3 linked regions of the Caenorhabditis elegans genome follow. The protein of the gene in region 2 purifies or fractionates together with the protein of the main gene of each other region. This does not show direct contact. Each region holds a gene or a part of one and is shown on either strand. Other genes may lie near its edges.

The links.
Region 1: the proteins of F38A1.8 (region 2) and mrps-25 fractionate together in Caenorhabditis elegans (co-fractionation; one large-scale study listed by BioGRID). This does not show direct contact.
Region 3: the proteins of F38A1.8 (region 2) and cysl-1 fractionate together in Caenorhabditis elegans (co-fractionation; one large-scale study listed by BioGRID). This does not show direct contact.

The regions. Positions count from the first base shown.
Region 1 is NC_003282.8:1,055,016-1,058,220, forward strand, and holds mrps-25 (Small ribosomal subunit protein mS25), read left to right. Parts: upstream 1-1,876; 5' UTR 1,877-1,889; coding exon 1,890-2,136; intron 2,137-2,185; coding exon 2,186-2,352; intron 2,353-2,400; coding exon 2,401-2,499; 3' UTR 2,500-2,604; downstream 2,605-3,205. Other genes in the region: Y55F3AM.13 (FH2 domain-containing protein), read right to left, coding at 69-272, 320-465, 530-1,115, 1,157-1,285.
Region 2 is NC_003282.8:1,233,490-1,241,893, reverse strand, and holds the start of F38A1.8 (SRP54-type proteins GTP-binding domain-containing protein), read left to right. Parts: upstream 1-2,041; 5' UTR 2,042-2,109; coding exon 2,110-2,166; intron 2,167-2,310; coding exon 2,311-2,457; intron 2,458-2,503; coding exon 2,504-2,608; intron 2,609-3,233; coding exon 3,234-3,707; intron 3,708-4,751; coding exon 4,752-4,885; intron 4,886-5,283; coding exon 5,284-5,399; intron 5,400-6,087; coding exon 6,088-6,393; intron 6,394-6,965; coding exon 6,966-7,198; intron 7,199-8,056; coding exon 8,057-8,362; 3' UTR 8,363-8,404. Other genes in the region: F38A1.15 (PAN-3 domain-containing protein), read left to right, coding at 1-72, 117-465, 518-562.
Region 3 is NC_003284.9:9,951,978-9,956,813, forward strand, and holds cysl-1 (Cysteine synthase 1), read right to left. Parts: upstream 2,557-4,836; coding exon 2,454-2,556; intron 2,173-2,453; coding exon 2,084-2,172; intron 2,032-2,083; coding exon 1,903-2,031; intron 1,749-1,902; coding exon 1,265-1,748; intron 1,197-1,264; coding exon 1,088-1,196; intron 924-1,087; coding exon 812-923; 3' UTR 602-811; downstream 1-601.

The DNA of each region.
Region 1 (3,205 bases), 180 kb from region 2:
ATCAGATAAAAATGCAAAATAATTCATTTAAACCGAGAAAATCAAATAAAAACATCAATAAATCAAATCTAAACAATCAAAGCGTCAATCTTCTTAGCCCACAACTCCACATTGTTCGGAAGGTGCTCCCCAAGGTTCAGAAGGCTTCTGAACACAATATCAGCGACACACACCTCCCATTGAGAGCTTAACGAGTCGAAACGAGCCAGGAACTGAGAAGCTTCACGTGTGACAAAGCTCTGATCACAGGAGCCGGCAAGGATTTGCTCGGCCTGAAAGAAAATTTGATTTTTTTGGGAAAGTTTCTAAAATTTCCTACTTTTCCCAGCCAAATCGCTTGATGACTGGCGCTGAGCACTTGTTGTGGCCGTCTAGAGAAGAGCCCGAGTGAAGAGCCCAACAGCTTCCAGATAGTTTGAAGGGATTTGACGGTAGTTTTTTCCAATTGCAGGGAGGGAGCAGGGCCTGAAAATATTGAAAATTAAGGGTATATCATAAAATTCTGATTTTTAGAGAAAAAATCCCGCACCTTTCACAACTTTCAGACTGGATTTCTTCTCTTTCGTCTGATTTTTGACTTCTCCCTCAAACGAGACTCCACGGCTTGCGCCGACCTTTGCGAGAGCCCGAGCCCACGGCAAATCCACGTCCCGCACTGTCAGCGTGGCGTTTTTCAGCTGCTCCTGCGGCTCGTAGGCCACAAGGGAGGTTGGGAGATTCACGGTGAGAGTCAGATTGGTCTCCCACGTCTTTCGGTCGTCCTGGACGGTCCATGGAGTCGAATTTACGGTCTTTTTCGCGGATTTCTGTGGTGGAGCCTCTCCGGAAGCCAATTTCTTTACGGCTTCTGCCTTGGCAGCCTTGCGAGCCTCCTTCTTGGCGTCCTTGTCTAGTTTTGCGGGGGCTCCGGGGACTCCGGGAGCTGAAGAGGCTGCTCCAGCGGATTTCTCAGGCTCTTTTGGCGCTTTTTCCGCAGGTTTTTGAGCAGATCTCTCTGCTTTTCCAGCCTCTCCAAGGCTTACCAGCAACTTCTTGAGCTCTTCGGTCTGTGCTTTGAGCTGCTCGATCAGTGAGAGCTGTTTGTGCTCCAAAGCCTTGCGCGGATCGGATTCTACCTGAAATTTCAGTTTTTTTTGAGCCAAAATCCGTCTATTACCTGCACCGCATCAGAAGGCCCGACTCCTCCGAAAGATGGATTATGATACGAACCTACTGGATAGCAGGCGATTTTCGGATGAACCTCAAAATTCGGTGGGAACGTCGGTGTCAGCTTGTACATTGGCATCGCGTGATTTACCCTGGAAAATCCTATTTTATACGAAATCTTGAGATTTTTGAGATTTTCAGAGCAATCGAGAGATTGTAAGATGGAATTTCGAGAATCTAAAATTTTTCAGAAGCGTTAAAGGCACCAAAAAACATGAAATATGCTTGAAAAACTGGGAAAACCATCAAATTTCTGGAAAAAAAATTTAGAGTTTAAAACAACGATGCTCCGAATTAACAAGTGCGTGTTATTTATTTTTAGTGAATTTTTGGTATAAAATCAGCATTTTTACATGATTTATGTAATTTTTGCGGGAAATAGACGAAAAATTACCGGTTTTTACTGAATTTTGATATAAAATAGCTTGAAAACAGCTAAAAAACCCAAAAATCAGAAATAAAAGCAAATGTGGATTTACGATAAAGAAGGCGCACAACGTGATATCGGAGTGTCGTTGGGAGGAAAATTATTTATTTTAATTATATATTTTTTTTCTCATTTTCAAGCGATTTTTTAGCTTTTTCCAGTGGTTTTTTAATTCTATCTTTTGCATAAATTTATCGTAATCTCATATTCAGCGTTTTCCCACGAAATTCCTTCCTTTTTCAGCTCAAAACCAGAAATGCCGTTCATGCACGGGTCCATGCCGCTTCGGCGGACATTCTTCTATCTCCAGCAGGGAAAAGTGAAGCTTCGCGACAACGTCAACGTGTTCTCGATGGGTTTTCATAAAAATCCGACGCCCGAGCAGTCTGGAGCACGAGATTTCGTCTACTGGAACTGGGCGCAGCTTCAATATCACAATCCAAAAGTTCAGCTCGTTAAGCATGCCGATAAAGTTGTGACGCCCTTTGCCAGAGCATATCTGAGTAAGTTTCAAGCTGAAAATCCACAAAATTCTACTAAAAAATGTTTCAGACGACGGCCGGGAAGTGCTATTCGACTTGGACGGCATGAAGCGCGAGGAAATCGAGAAATTATTGGCGAAAACGCTAGGAAAAACGGAATTAGTGGAGCGAAGAGAGCATTTGGAGAGTATTGCCAAGCTTAATCCCGCCGATTTCGGATCCAAAAATGAGCGACAGGTCTGAAAATTGCGCGAAAAATCGGCAAAAAATCGTTCATTTTTTCAGTGTATGTGCGAAGTTCAAGGCCAACATCCGTGCACGGGACTCCTGCGAGCACCGCAATGTGTCACCGGAAAATATCGATGGAATCATAATCTCATCTAATTTATATCGATTGATTTTTGTGTAAATTTCCTATTTCCCCCTATTTCTAGCTAGTTTTTGTGTCGATCTTCCTTGTTTTTTGTTGAAAAAACGATTTTTTTTTTCAGTTTTACAATCTTTTTGCCGCAATATTCACGACGAGAAGGTTCGAAGAAGTATAATCATGCCTGGGTTTCAAAAATTCTATATTTTGGGCCTAAATCGTCATGATTTGGCCTGAAATCGGCTCTAAAGTCTACAGTAACCCGATAAATTTCGCTGTGAGACCCAAGAAAGACATATTTTTGAAATCAGCGTGTCAAGCCAGTTTGAATGAGTTTACTCAAGCATAGGTTTTAAAATTTTTAAAATTTGAACGAAAATTGAACGACTTTGGCCTAAATTTAGCCTTTAAATCTACAGTAACCCAGCCAATTTCGCTGCGAGACCCATGAAACTTATATTTTTGAAATCAGCGTGGCAAGCCGGTTTGAATAAGTATAATCATGACTATTTTCGAAGAAACTTCTTTTCTTTCGAAAATTTCGTGACGAGACCCAAAATTTTTTTTTGAAAAATTAATATAACCGATAATATATGATTTATATGTGTATTAAATTACAATTATTTTGACCAGAAATCAATGTGTATACGGGGAACAACAACTTTTTTGACGAGAATTTTTTCAGGGATGGGGCAAGTTTGAAGGGACATAGGGCGGGAGTTA
Region 2 (8,404 bases):
CTACCTTACTTCCAAGTTCCTGCCCGGCTCCACTTTCTTCATGACCGGACAGATTTCTTCATCTCAACATCGGTAAAGCCTGGACTGGTACTTTAAATATTCTATGACCTTTTCAGCTTCACCATTTCATTCTACAATACGATCACCAGATTCTACCCACTTTATGTCGAAGTTAGGAATTTCATCGGCAGCGGCCAGACAGCGCTTAATATGTACACATACAATGGTAACACACGGATTAAAGTGCAAACGGAGAAAAGTCCGTATACGTATGGAGAAACGTTCAAGATTTACGTAAATTCTTCTTATACCGAAGCGTTTATTTACTTGGATAACAACGCGATCATCACTCATGAACTGGTGGAAGGTTATAATATGACAGATATCGATTCATTTGTTATTAATATAACAAATGAATCGACAGAAGTGGCGTTAGACTTTCTGGGATGGACCGGAGATTGTTGGGTGAGAAACTAAGAAATTTGATCTACTGACCAATAGTACACTTAATTTTCAGTTCGAGCCAATTCCAGCAACACCTCCCGTGCAGCCTGAGCTCTAAGTCATGAATTACATATAATTGTCATCCTACTGCTTATTTCACTATGTTAGAATAAAGCATTGTTAATATAACAAAAACTTTTTGGATTTGCCCGTTTTCTCTTTGATTTTATCTATACCTGCCTCAAATCTTAACTCAAGTATAAAATATTGCGCAAGCAGAGATGATTAGCGCATTTCTCGTGTCCGACGCTGGCGCGAAACTAGTTTTGCTCGAAGCGGCGTATTGATTCGCTGCTCATTGCGCCAGATTTATAGTTTTTAGCAGTGGTGTGCGGCAAATTTGCCGTTTGCCGAGCTCGGCAAATTTCGAAAAAGTAGATTTGCCAAATTTTCCGAGCTCTGCAAATTTCGAAATTTGCCGCACACGTCAAAAACTTTGCAGTACAATTCTGACCAAAACTATTGATTGCCGCTGAAAGTTTAGTAAAATGACACGAAATTGAGTTATTTAGATGCTTGAGCAAACATACTACATGGAACTTATTCTGAAACCAGATGTGTGTTAAGAAATCAGTAGTTTTGGTGCTCCAAAAAGCATAAAAAATACCAAAATTTTCGGAGTTTGTTAAGCACGGTAAATTTGCCGAATCTGTCGAGCTCGGCAAATATTGGAAAAAGAGATTTGCCGAATTTGAGATTTTTTTGAGAATTTTGACCCCTGGTTTTTAGCCAGGTTAGCTTATTTTTTATTGATTGTTCTTGGCTCCGAAGATCAGCTTTTTTTTATAGAATGTTTTCCGGTTTCATGATGATTCGAACCGGATTTCTTGACTCTTGTTTTTTTCTAAAGCTTTTCGCAATAAAAGGTTTGTGAGTTTGAAAACCGGGGGTTTTATTTCGGGGCGATCGCCAGGCTTGAACAGGCGAATTCCTAACTAGTTCTGTGATTTTAGGTGACGTTAGCTGAAGGATGTTCAATTTTTTTTCAAATGCATTTGGCTTAGTGCTCTTTCGAACTTTTTGTCTAACTTTCTAGTGTGTTCTTTCAATTTTCCAGGAAAAAAACATCATTTTTCAGTGACAGATCGCCTAGTAACATGCACGGCTCCATTTTTGCAGCTCCTTGCATCAGGAACCAGTTCACTCGTCATGTAGCTTTCGGTCTTCCTGTTCCTTTTTCCAATTCAAACTTTGATTTTGGTAGTTTTACCTGAGCAAACTGAGCATCTGAAAATGATTTTTTTTGAATTTGTTTCACGCGGTTTTGGCTACCCTCATACATTAAAAAAAAAAAATTAAAAAATTAAATTTGTTTTGAGGCATTGAAAAAATATCTTTAAACTAATACAATCACTCTCTAACTGAACAGATTTCCGCAATTTTCAACAATTCATTCCATTTTTATTCGCCAAAAATCATAATTTCTCTTTTTTCAATATTTGAATTCAATAACTTTCCTCCAAAAAGAAAGTGTGCATTGTGTCGTCAAATGCGGTATTCTGGTACCATGAACCCAAGACTTGACGCGCAAAACTACACGTGTTGTGCAGTTTTTTGCGTTGAAATTTTCGGAATAAATCTAAAAATTTCAGTTTTCCGGCTAAAATGATCGAACTTTTTTCGATTTTCACGAAAGGAGGCGTCTGCCTGTGGAATTATCAGGTAATTTATTGGAAAAAACTGGGTAAAATTGGTTTTTGCCTCAAAAAACTTCAAAATCATCGGAAATCCTCGATTTTTAACATTCTCCGCATCAGAAAATCGATAAAAATTCAGTTTTCAGTGTTTTAAATGCCCATTTTACAGGAAGGCGATTATAACTTCACGGAAGCCATCAATAATGAGCTGATTAAGGGAACACTGATGGAAGAACGTGGAAATAGTGGACAGAAAAAAGTTGGAAATTATACAATGAAATTTCAGCTTGATAATGAGTATAATGTCATTTTTTTGGTAGAAAAACCATATTTTTTCCTCAAAAAATCAATAAAAATTGCAGGTAATTTATCAAACAATTGTGAATTTAAATTATGCGGAAAAACTGCTCAATTTGGTCGTTGATAGCTTTCGAGGAGAGTTTTCCGAGAATTTGAGAGAAGAAACAGTGAGTTTTCGTTAAAAAATTGAACAAAAATCTCTATTTTTCCACCAAAAACCGAGTTTTTGACAAAAAAAAAATCGATTTTTGGTTCAAAATTAGCTGAAAACACAATTTTTATTGATAAAAATCGTAAAATTATGGAAATTAAGCTGTAGAAGCGTAATTTCTCGAAAAAAAAAGTGCCAAAAACCTTGAATTTCAATTAAAAAATTTTTTGCTAAAAAATTCGAAAAATTCTCATTTCTGCTGTAAAAGTCAAAAAACTTCAATTTTTTGGTAGAAAAATGCTGAAAATCTCAAATTTCACCTTAAAACAGTCATTTTTTTAATTAAAAATTTTTCCGCAAAAAAAATTTCTGAAACCCCCATTTTTCTCTCAAAAGTCCCAAAAATCTCAAATTTCAGCTAAAAACTGCAATTTTCGTGGAAAATTTTTTTAAAAACTTCATTTTTGTCAGAAAAGTCCCAAAAATCTCAAATTTCAGCTAAAAAGATGATATTTTTTCTAAAAAAATGCTCAAAATTCAATTTTCCATCTAAAAACACCACTTTTGCGCGCGGAAAAGTGGCATTTTAGCTGAGAAAAACTAATTTTTTGCGAAAAAAGCTTAAGAATCTATTTTTCCAGGCTCTAACCACTCCTCCGTCGAATATCTACGGAAATTTCGACGAAACCTTTCACGAAGTGCTCTCAGAAGCTGCAAAAAGTGCTCGTGCCACTGAAAACACCGTCAAAAAGCCGAAAACGTTCCAAGAATCTGCAAAATCTCAAAAAACCATCGATTCGCTGATTGTGAGCCGCCCGGGACAGAAAAACGCCGAAAAATCCGCGAAAAACGCTGAAAAAACGCCGAAAAAGCCGGTGGAAAGTGCCGAAGAATCGTCTGCAACTGATTATAATTCAGCATCACCACCTGGAAGCCCGGATGAAGAAGTTTTACGTAGAAGGGATCAAATGTTCAAGAAAATGAGTGGAAATACGAAGAAAAAAGGCCCAGAAGAGCCTACTTCACCTAAGCCCAAGGGAAAACAAGCTAGAGTTTGGGCTTTGAGTGGAAAACCGGCTGACGTCAAAAATCTCGATAGATCCGATCCGAAAGAGGTAGAAATTCGACGAAATTCGCTGAAAAATTGAAGAAAATTAGCTAGTTTTCACCGAAACCGGCGAAAAATCCTCAAAAATTAACTAAAGTCGCTTAAAAATTCCGAGAAATAAGGCTTAAGCTCAGGCTTAGGCTTAAGCTTAGGCTTTAGGCCTAGGTTTAGGCTTAGGCTTAACCCTCGAAACTGAAGAAAATTGGCTAATTTTCACGTAAAATTGCGAAAATTTGAAAAAAAATTGAAAAATTGTTGAAAATCATCAAAAAGTAGCTAAAATTCGTCTTAAAATTCGAAAATATTAGGCTTAAGCTTAGGCTTAGGGCTATGCTCAATCTTAGGCTTAGGCTTAAACTCAGGCTTAAGCTTAGGGGGGACTGAAAAAAAATAGTCTGAAAATTCCGAAAAATCTGAAAAATTGCGAAAAAGCCTTAAAAATTAGCTGAATTTTGTCTTGAAACCCCCTAAAAATTAGGCTTGGCTTAGGCTTATGCTTAGGCTCAGACTTAGGCCTATGCTCAAGCTTAGGCTTAGGCTTAAACTCAGGCTTAAGCATAGGCCGGCCTGGAGAAAACACATGAGTCTAAAATTCCCAAAAATTTCGAAAATGCCTTAAAAATTAGCTGAATTTTGTCTTGAAAACCCCGAAAAAATTAGGCTTAGGTGTAGGCTTAAGCTGAAGCTTAGGATCAGGCTTAGGCTTAGGCGTAGGCCTATGCTCAAGCTTTGGTTCAGGCTTAAACTCAGGCTTAAGCTTAGAGAGACTGTAAAAAAAAGTCTAAAAATTCCCAAAATTTCGAAAAAGCCTTAAAAATTAGCTGAATTTTGTCTTGAAAACCCCGAAAAATTAGGCTTAGGTGTAGGCTTAGGCTTGGCCTTAGGCTTAAAATCAGGCTTAAAATCAGGCTTAAGCTTAGGCCGGTCTGGAGAAAATAAGAGTCTAAAATTCCCAAAAATTTCGAAAAATCTGAAATTTCGGTTCAATTATTACAGTTATTACAGCTAAAAATCCGGTCATTTATTCAATTTTACCCAAATTTTTTTCCAGAATGACGAAAATGCCGCCGATGAGGAGAAAAATCGCTTCGTTGAGAGTATGAAGGAACAAATTGGAACACTTAAAGGAGATTTAAAGTCACTTCAGGAGTCTGATGATGAAGATGAAGATGATAATGATCAGCAGTAAGAAAATTGACTGAAAATCTCGAAAAATAAACAAAAAAATGAATTTTTACCCGAAAAATTCATCAATTTTCACATTTTTTTCGTGAAAATCCGAATGTTTGGATTAAAAAACATGAAAATATCGTTGAAATGGATCACATTTTCGTCTGAAAAATAAGAAAATAACTTGAAAAATTTGAATTTGGATTATTAAAAACGGTCGAACAAACTTTTAAAGTGGAAAATTTTTTCTTTTTTAATTTTTTTTCTTTTTTAATTGAAAAATTGCGGAAAAATCAGAGTTCAGCTAATTTTCTTTAAATTTTCCATCATCAAATCCCACTATTTTCATGAAAAAAAATCGTGTTTTTTTGCCGATTTTCCCTTAGTTTTCTCTAAAATCCAGTAATTTTCAGAGTTGTAAAGCAGTCTGGCGGATGGTTCAGTATGATTAAAGGACTTGTTGGAGAGAAGAAGCTTAGCGCTGAAGATCTGAATCCATTAATTGAAAAAATGAGAGAAAATTTGATTTGTGAGTTTGGAAAACTGAAAAAAAAAATCATATAAATAATCAAATTTTTAAACAAAATTCAAAAGAAAAATTAATATTGGAAAATCAATAAATTATTGGTTTTCAATAAAATTATCAATTTCTCCCCGTAAGCCGAAAAATATTCAAATTTTTCCATGAAACAAATTGATTTTTTTTGTGGAAAAACATCTGAAATAGCTCAAAAAAAACTTTTTATCATCGATTTTGAGATAAAATCTCAAAATTATTTTAAAAAATCGATAAAATATCATCGATTATTACAAAAAAATCCGAAAACAATGAAATTTGTACCAAAAAGTCTCGAAAAAAATCCAATTTCGTGCGAAAAATTGATAATTTATCGATTTTTCCTTTTTTTCCTTGCGAAAAAAATTGCCAATTTTTCGCAAAAATCCATAATTTATCGATTTTTTGAGCGATTTTTGATGCTTTGAAAAAAAAAAAACAGAAAATCGATATTTTAGTGAATTTATCGTGTAAAATTCGATTATTTCTCGGCTTATGGGGAAAAATCGATAAATTATCAATTTTTGCAGAAAAAAGGCACAAAAAATTACCATCGTGCGAAAAATCGACTATCGATTTCACACGCAATAAACTGTAGAAAATTAGTGAAAATCTCTCAAGATTCGCTTCTTCAAAAAATCAATAAATTATCGATTTTCAGTGAAAAACGTTGCTTCGGAGCCAGCGGAGAAGATCTGTCAATCAGTTGTGTCAAAATTGGAGGGAAAAGTGGTGAATAACTTTTCTCGAGTTGCTCAAGAAGTTAAAACTGCCGTCCGCGAGTCCCTTGTCCAACTTTTGACCCCGAAACATCGTGTAGACATTCTTCGTGACGTCATCGAAGCGAAACGGGACGGTCGACCCTATGTCATTGTGTTCTGTGGAGTTAATGGAGTTGGAAAATCGACAAATCTCGCGAAAATTACATTTTGGCTCACTGAGAACAAGCATCGCGTGCTCATTGCAGGTAAAAACCCGTAAAATCCGCGGAAAAAAATTGAAAAAACCACAAAAAATGTGCAAAAAAAACTTGCAAAACCGAAAAATTTCAATAATCATAAAAATTTGAAAAAAAAAATGTTTAAAACTGAAAAATTCTGAAAAAAATTACGAATTTTGACTGAAAACACTTTTTTTTCAAATTTTTTAATTTTTTAACCGAAAATTTTGTCGAAAAATCCGCCAATTACGGTAAAAAACGTTGAAAATCTTGAAAAAATAAAATATTGTCTAATTTTTTTTTCGAATTTTACTCAAATTTCAATTTTCAACGAATTTGTATTTTTCCCAGAAATTTAGTGAAAAATCTGAAAAATTCATGAAATTTGAATGAAAACACTCGAAAATCCTGGAAAAAAGAGTTAATTTTGCAGAAAATTCTGTCGAAAAATTGAAAAAAAGTCACAAAATTTTTTTTTGAGGTGGAAATTGTGAATTTATCAATTTTATCTAAAAAAAATTTATCGATTTTTCTAAAACTTTATCGATTTCTCTGAAATTTAATCGATTTTTCTCCAAAAATTATCGATTTTCTTACAGCCGGTGACACATTCCGTGCGGGAGCCGTCGAACAACTGAGAACCCATGCTCGATATCTCAACGATCTTCATAAAAACTCTGTGCTCCTCCACGAACAGGGTTACGGTAAAGACCCGGCGGGTCTCGCAGCGGCCGCCATCAAAAAGGCTGCTGAACAAGATTTCGATGTGGTTTTGGTGGATACTGCCGGCCGAATGCAGGATAATGAACCGCTGATGAGAGAGTTGGCCAAGGTAATTCAAATTTTTTTTTTGAAATGTCGAATTCTCCGCTAAATTCTACCCCTACCACATTATTTCTGGGGTTTGTAGCTCAATTTTGAAGTATTTCGGCTTACTGTAGCCCCAAAAGTACGCAAACATCCGAAACACCACATTTTACGCGATTTTGAGATAGAGCTCTGAAAATTCATGGCTAGATGTAGAAAATAGCATAGATTTCGAATTACGCTGTAATATCGCAGAGAAAAATACTTGAGTTACTGAAAATATCTATTTTCTGACCGAAATATTTCAAATGGCTAGTTTTTACCTGAGAATTCGAATTCTCCGCTAAATTTCACCCCCGGCACAATTTTTTTTTGTGATTTTGGCTCAATTTCGACAATTTTGGGTTACTGTAGCCCCGAAAGTACGCAAACACCGACTACCGTAACCCGAAACACCGGATTTTACGCAATTTTGAGCTAGAATTCCCAAAATTCTGAGTTAATTTGCAGAAAATTGCAAGGATTTCAAATGTTCTAGTGAATTCCCCGAGAAAATGTTTTAAACCACTGAAAATCCCGTTTTTCTAGCCTTAATACTTCAAATGGCTAGTTTTTATATCAAAATTCAAATTCCCCGCTGAATTTCACCCCTCGCATATTGTTTCTGAAGTGTGTAGCTCAATTTCGACAATTTCGGGGTACTGTAGCCCCAAAAGTACGCAAACACCAACTACAGTAACCCGAAACACCGGATTTTACGCGATTTTGAGATAGAGCTCTGAAAACTTGGGGTTAAATGCAGAAAATAGCAAGGATTTCGAATTTTCTAGTGAATTCCTCGAGAAAATGTTTCAAACCACTGAAAATTGCGATTTTGTTGCAGCTAATCCGAGTGAATGAGCCCGACTTGGTGTTGTTTGTCGGCGAGGCGCTTGTCGGAAATGAGGCAGTCGATCAACTGGTGAAATTCAATGAAGCTCTGGCAAATCACGCTTCACCCGGGCAAAAGCCCCGTCTAATCGATGGAATTGTGCTCACAAAGTTTGATACAATTGATGATAAAGTTGGAGCAGCTGTATCAATGACATATATCACTGGACAACCGATTGTATTCGTTGGATGTGGTCAAACGTATTCGGATCTGAGGAATTTGAATGTTGGAGCCGTCGTTCATTCGCTTTTAAACTAGATTTTTTGCTTTTTCTGGAGAATTTTTGATGAAAAATGGGTT
Region 3 (4,836 bases), on a different chromosome or scaffold from region 2:
TTTTTAAGGTTTATACAGTTGCTCTCAACTTTTTAAATTACCAGAAATATCATTCAGTAGCCCTTATTAGGATTGTTTTAATTTCGCAAATATGCTACTAGAACTTTTCCATTACTCTTTTCCAAAAAGATGGGTACGTGAACCATTTAAGTTTATGTCAATTCAACTGAACATGTTCAAAGGAGTCAGCTAGAAAACTGTGAACTTTCCGCTCAAATAATTTCATAGTGAAACCATCAAACCAGACCTCCGTGGTATAGTTTTCCGATTTGATAAAGATCGCGTTAAATATCCATACTACTAATTAAATTGAACTTCTCGCTTGAAACCACATGCAGCGTTTGTCTCGTTGGCCACCACTATCGGTGAAAGAATTTTTCTGGCGATTAGCCAAACCAGGTTTCATTCCTCCTTATTAGGGTCAGTGTTTCTATCTGCACTGACCTTTTCATGAGACATCGACAAGCCTATTTCATGCCTCACTGTGCTAATGGTTTAATTGTTTTTAAAAAAGTCGGTTATCCTCCCAGTTTCGTCAGTTCAACACCAATCTTAGTGTCTGCGGGTTCAAAGCATACAAGCTATCTTAGATCACAGTACAAAACACTAATTGCATTTATTGAAAAAATAGACAGCGGAACATTTACATGGAAAAAATACGAAAGAATGCAAATTATTATAATGTGTAGGTTTTTTGATTGAATTACCAGCCGATTTATCATTTTTAGTGAGTAACAACCTTGATAATTTTTGGGTGAAAGAATTTAAATGAAAGAAAAAAGAAAAAAGTGAGATGAATTTTTGATTTAAATCACTCCATAATATCATAGTTGTGAAGACATAACTTCTTCAAGTTTGCCTCCAAGCTTTCGACTGCCAGAGCCATAGCGCTTTCGCGGATGTCGGTGTACAAAGGAGAGGTCCTGGAAAAATGGTTTTTAAGATCAATCACAGTAAATTGTACATGATTACTACGTTAAAGATTCAATAGTTGTTTAACTTTCTATCAGAAATACTCAACATCCGAGGAATCAGATGCAAACTACTAGCTCACATCACAAGTAACATTTTAAGTCAGTCATCTTACATGTATCGTTCTCCACAGCTTGGCAAACAAGTCACAATGAGCTTTCCAGCCATTTCTGGGCGAGCAGCCAACTGAAGTGCAGCTGCAACATTAGCTCCGGAGGAAATTCCTAAAATATAGAATTTTAAAAACATACTTCTTTCAAACTATCAAAGCAAACACAGTCACACAACCTACCGCCAAGAAGACCTTCTTCATAGGAAAGTCTTTGAGCCATGACAATAGCCTCATCGGAATGAATTCGAATTACGTCTTCATAGATCTTTGTGTCCAAAACAGCTGGAGCAAACCCTGCTCCAATGCCTTGAATTTTGTGTGGACCGGCTGGTCTGCCGCTGAGTATAGCGGATTCTTCTGGCTCCACAGCAAACACGCGGACACCTGGATTCTGCTCTTGCAAGTATCTGCCAACTCCGGTAATTGTTCCACCAGTTCCAACCCCAAAAACAACAGCGTCTACTGTCCCTTTGGTTTGTCTCCAAATTTCTGGTCCAGTTGTTTGATAGTGAACAAGTGGATTATTTGGGTTGTCAAATTGAGCAAGAATGATAGACCCTGGAATGTTTTCCTTCAGCTGGTTAGCCATGTCAATCGCTCCTTTCATTCCTTTCGCTGGGTCTGTCAAGACCACCTCGGATCCATATGCTTTGAGAAGAGTTCTCTGTAAGATATATATTTTATATGTTAAAAAATTTTCAACCCGGAGATTTGTTTAAAATCACAGATGACACAACTGTACTCAATAGCTAAAAAAAAAGGTTTCAGTACTGGCAATTCCTGGGGTGAAGATTTGCATCCATAAGATCAATACTCACGCGTTCTCCACTCATAGATGCTGGCATTGTGACAATACATCTATACCCCTTGGCGGCAGCAACAAAAGCCAATGCGATTCCAGTGTTTCCTGATGTTGGCTCAATGAGCGTGGTCACTCCCGGGATCACCTTAAAAAATTTTAATGCAATTTTTTGAACAATGGTATTGTTGATGAAGCACCGTTCCATCTTTTTCGGCCGCTGCAAGCATTGCCGCTCCAATACGATCTTTGACCGATCCCGCTGGATTCATGTATTCGATTTTTACAGCTGTAAACTTGAAAATTATAATAGGATAATTGGACTTTTGTTTCTTCTTGAAAATTCAAAACATTTTTGATTTGTAAAATTCAATTTTATCTACGTTCTGGTTTTACTATTTTTCGTACTTTCTTTTAAGTGAGACTATTTGTCAAAGTTATATTTTGTTGAGAAGTTACAAAACTCGGTTACAGTGGTATTGCATAAAAGAAACAAAAAAATTCAAAGTTTCACCAGTATTGTTCAAAACATTTTTTAAGATTTCGTTTAATTCAAATGAATAAACCAACCAACTGTCCCTGGAAGTCCTTTTGTCAATTTATTGATGTACACCATGGGTGTGTTGCCAATAAGCGCGGCAGCATTTTCGCCAATAGAGTTGCGATCAGCCATCTGAAACATCGACTATGAGTTAAATGAGAGTGTAGACAATAACGAGAGAACGCAGAAAAGGGAAAACTATATCACAGGAAAGAAATATTTTAAACTATCAATGACTATTGGCACGGAAACAAAATATTTTTCTATCATCTGTTTCTGCTGGTTTTGACACCAAACTCCAAATGATAGTTGGACTTTTAAACAGAAGGAGATAAGGAGATAAAGAAAATGTTATAAGATAGGGAGAGATAGACGACACATGTCTAAGTACATGTTGTGTAGCGGAACGAATGCACAATCAGCTGGCATTTCTTAAAGGTTGGCACACATCTAATGAGCCATTGAATGAACATTCTAAGGAAGCAATGAGGAAACAAACAGAACACGCAACACAACGAGCAAGAGATAGAAGAATATCCCGTTGTTGTATCTTATAGAGCAGCTGCAACGAGACAGATTTATAAAAATGAAGTGAGCAAGTAAGGAGAGAATGAATCCACGATAAGATAATAAAACAACAATAACCGCTCAGTATGACATAATTGCATTATGCAAATGTCGGTGAGCTGGAAAATTTACAATGGGAAAAGAAGAGATGATATCCATTTATTAGAAACTGGGACATTTTTGATGATAAAAGGTAAACCACTTCGTATTTTTCCCGAAAGTATAAATTAAACTTTTTAGGAACTCAGACAGAGTTATTTCAAAAAATTGTTATTTTCTAGATCAAGCACGATAAACTCCAAACATGGAAAAGCATTTACATGTACATCTATTATAGGTAATTAGGAATAGTTTATCCTGAATAACCTTTATGAGTCATGAGTTAAACAAAACACGAAAACGCCCCACTCACCGGATTAAACCAATGAAAAGTACTTGCACGTTTCGATATATACTTAGTGTTCTTGTTTTGTAAAAATAGCAAATGCAACAACTAACCGGCTGGTATTATTTTGATCTTTTGAAACTGCACTTATTAATGAAACATTTCATTCTTTGAAGTGGAATCTTGTTGCAAAAATTGAAGGATGTAAAAAATGGATCTCCTGTCATCTAATAGAAACATTCACACGCTTTTTCCATTTTCTTTTTCTTCTAAGAAAACTCCGAGAAGGATGAAATAGGAGGTGATGGGGAGTTTTCTTAATAAAAAATATAATGAACAAACGATCAAATTACACGATATCGCGAGGCGTTTTCAGAATTTACTTCAAAAAGTAAACTTTGATCATTTTAAAACGGCAGTTCTTAAAGAGCATTAGACCTTTTTACAGTTTCTATCTGGATATGTTTCAAAATTCTTTGAAAACACATTTGATGATTGAGAAAACCAATAATAGTAGTGTCGAAATAGTGTGAAGTAAGCAAAAAGTAGTAGTTTGCATGCAATAATGTCCAGAAAGCAAAAGGTCACTCGTGCTATTTCTTCTATGCACTTCAGACTTCATCAGTAGCATGGGAAAATTCCCACGTCGTCCAGAAACGTTGAATATAAGAATTATACTGTCGAGCATGCATTTATCTCTATATCTTTTGCAAAAAGATATAAAACACAAACGATAAAAAGAAAAGAACAAAACTGGATTGTGGAGACCTACCAAGGTTGATAAATAAATTAAAAAGCGGTAACAGAGACAATTTTTGTTAATTTCTTTGTTGATGAAATTACAACGATGAATTGAATAACAATTTCCACACGCATGCTGTTTCATTCATATATACTTTGACCACTGGGACTACTTCTCAGTTAAGATGTAGAGATCAAAAGATGAAAATCTAGCGAAACGCATACGCATGGGAGCATAACTGACGGATAAAAGCTTATTAGCTTTGCGACCAGAGTAGAAACATTAATATGGACCTCGAGAGCATTAAATGTAAATGAAAGAGCATGCAGAACACTCGGGATTTGGGAGAATAAATTGAAAACTGGTGAATCGGTTGTCGCTATTTAGTTTCGCAGTGTACTTCTTGCCATTTTATTACAATGATGCCAAAAACAGTTGCGAATTAAATTTTCAATCTAGAAAAGAAGATAAAAATCTACTTGCTAACATGAAATTCGAACTTCAGAACAAGTTTAATCGTAAGCTGAAGAGAGGTTTCTCGAAACTACATATATAGAAAATCCGCAGCCTTAAGAATTCACACATCAGAATGAAGTATTAATGAGCAGCATGCGCTTTTCTCTGAACCCTTGCACATAGAACAACCAAACCTCACATTTTATAATGCATGCAGTAAATTCAAAAGGGAAGTCACAAAGTACAATTTAGGGGTACTCGA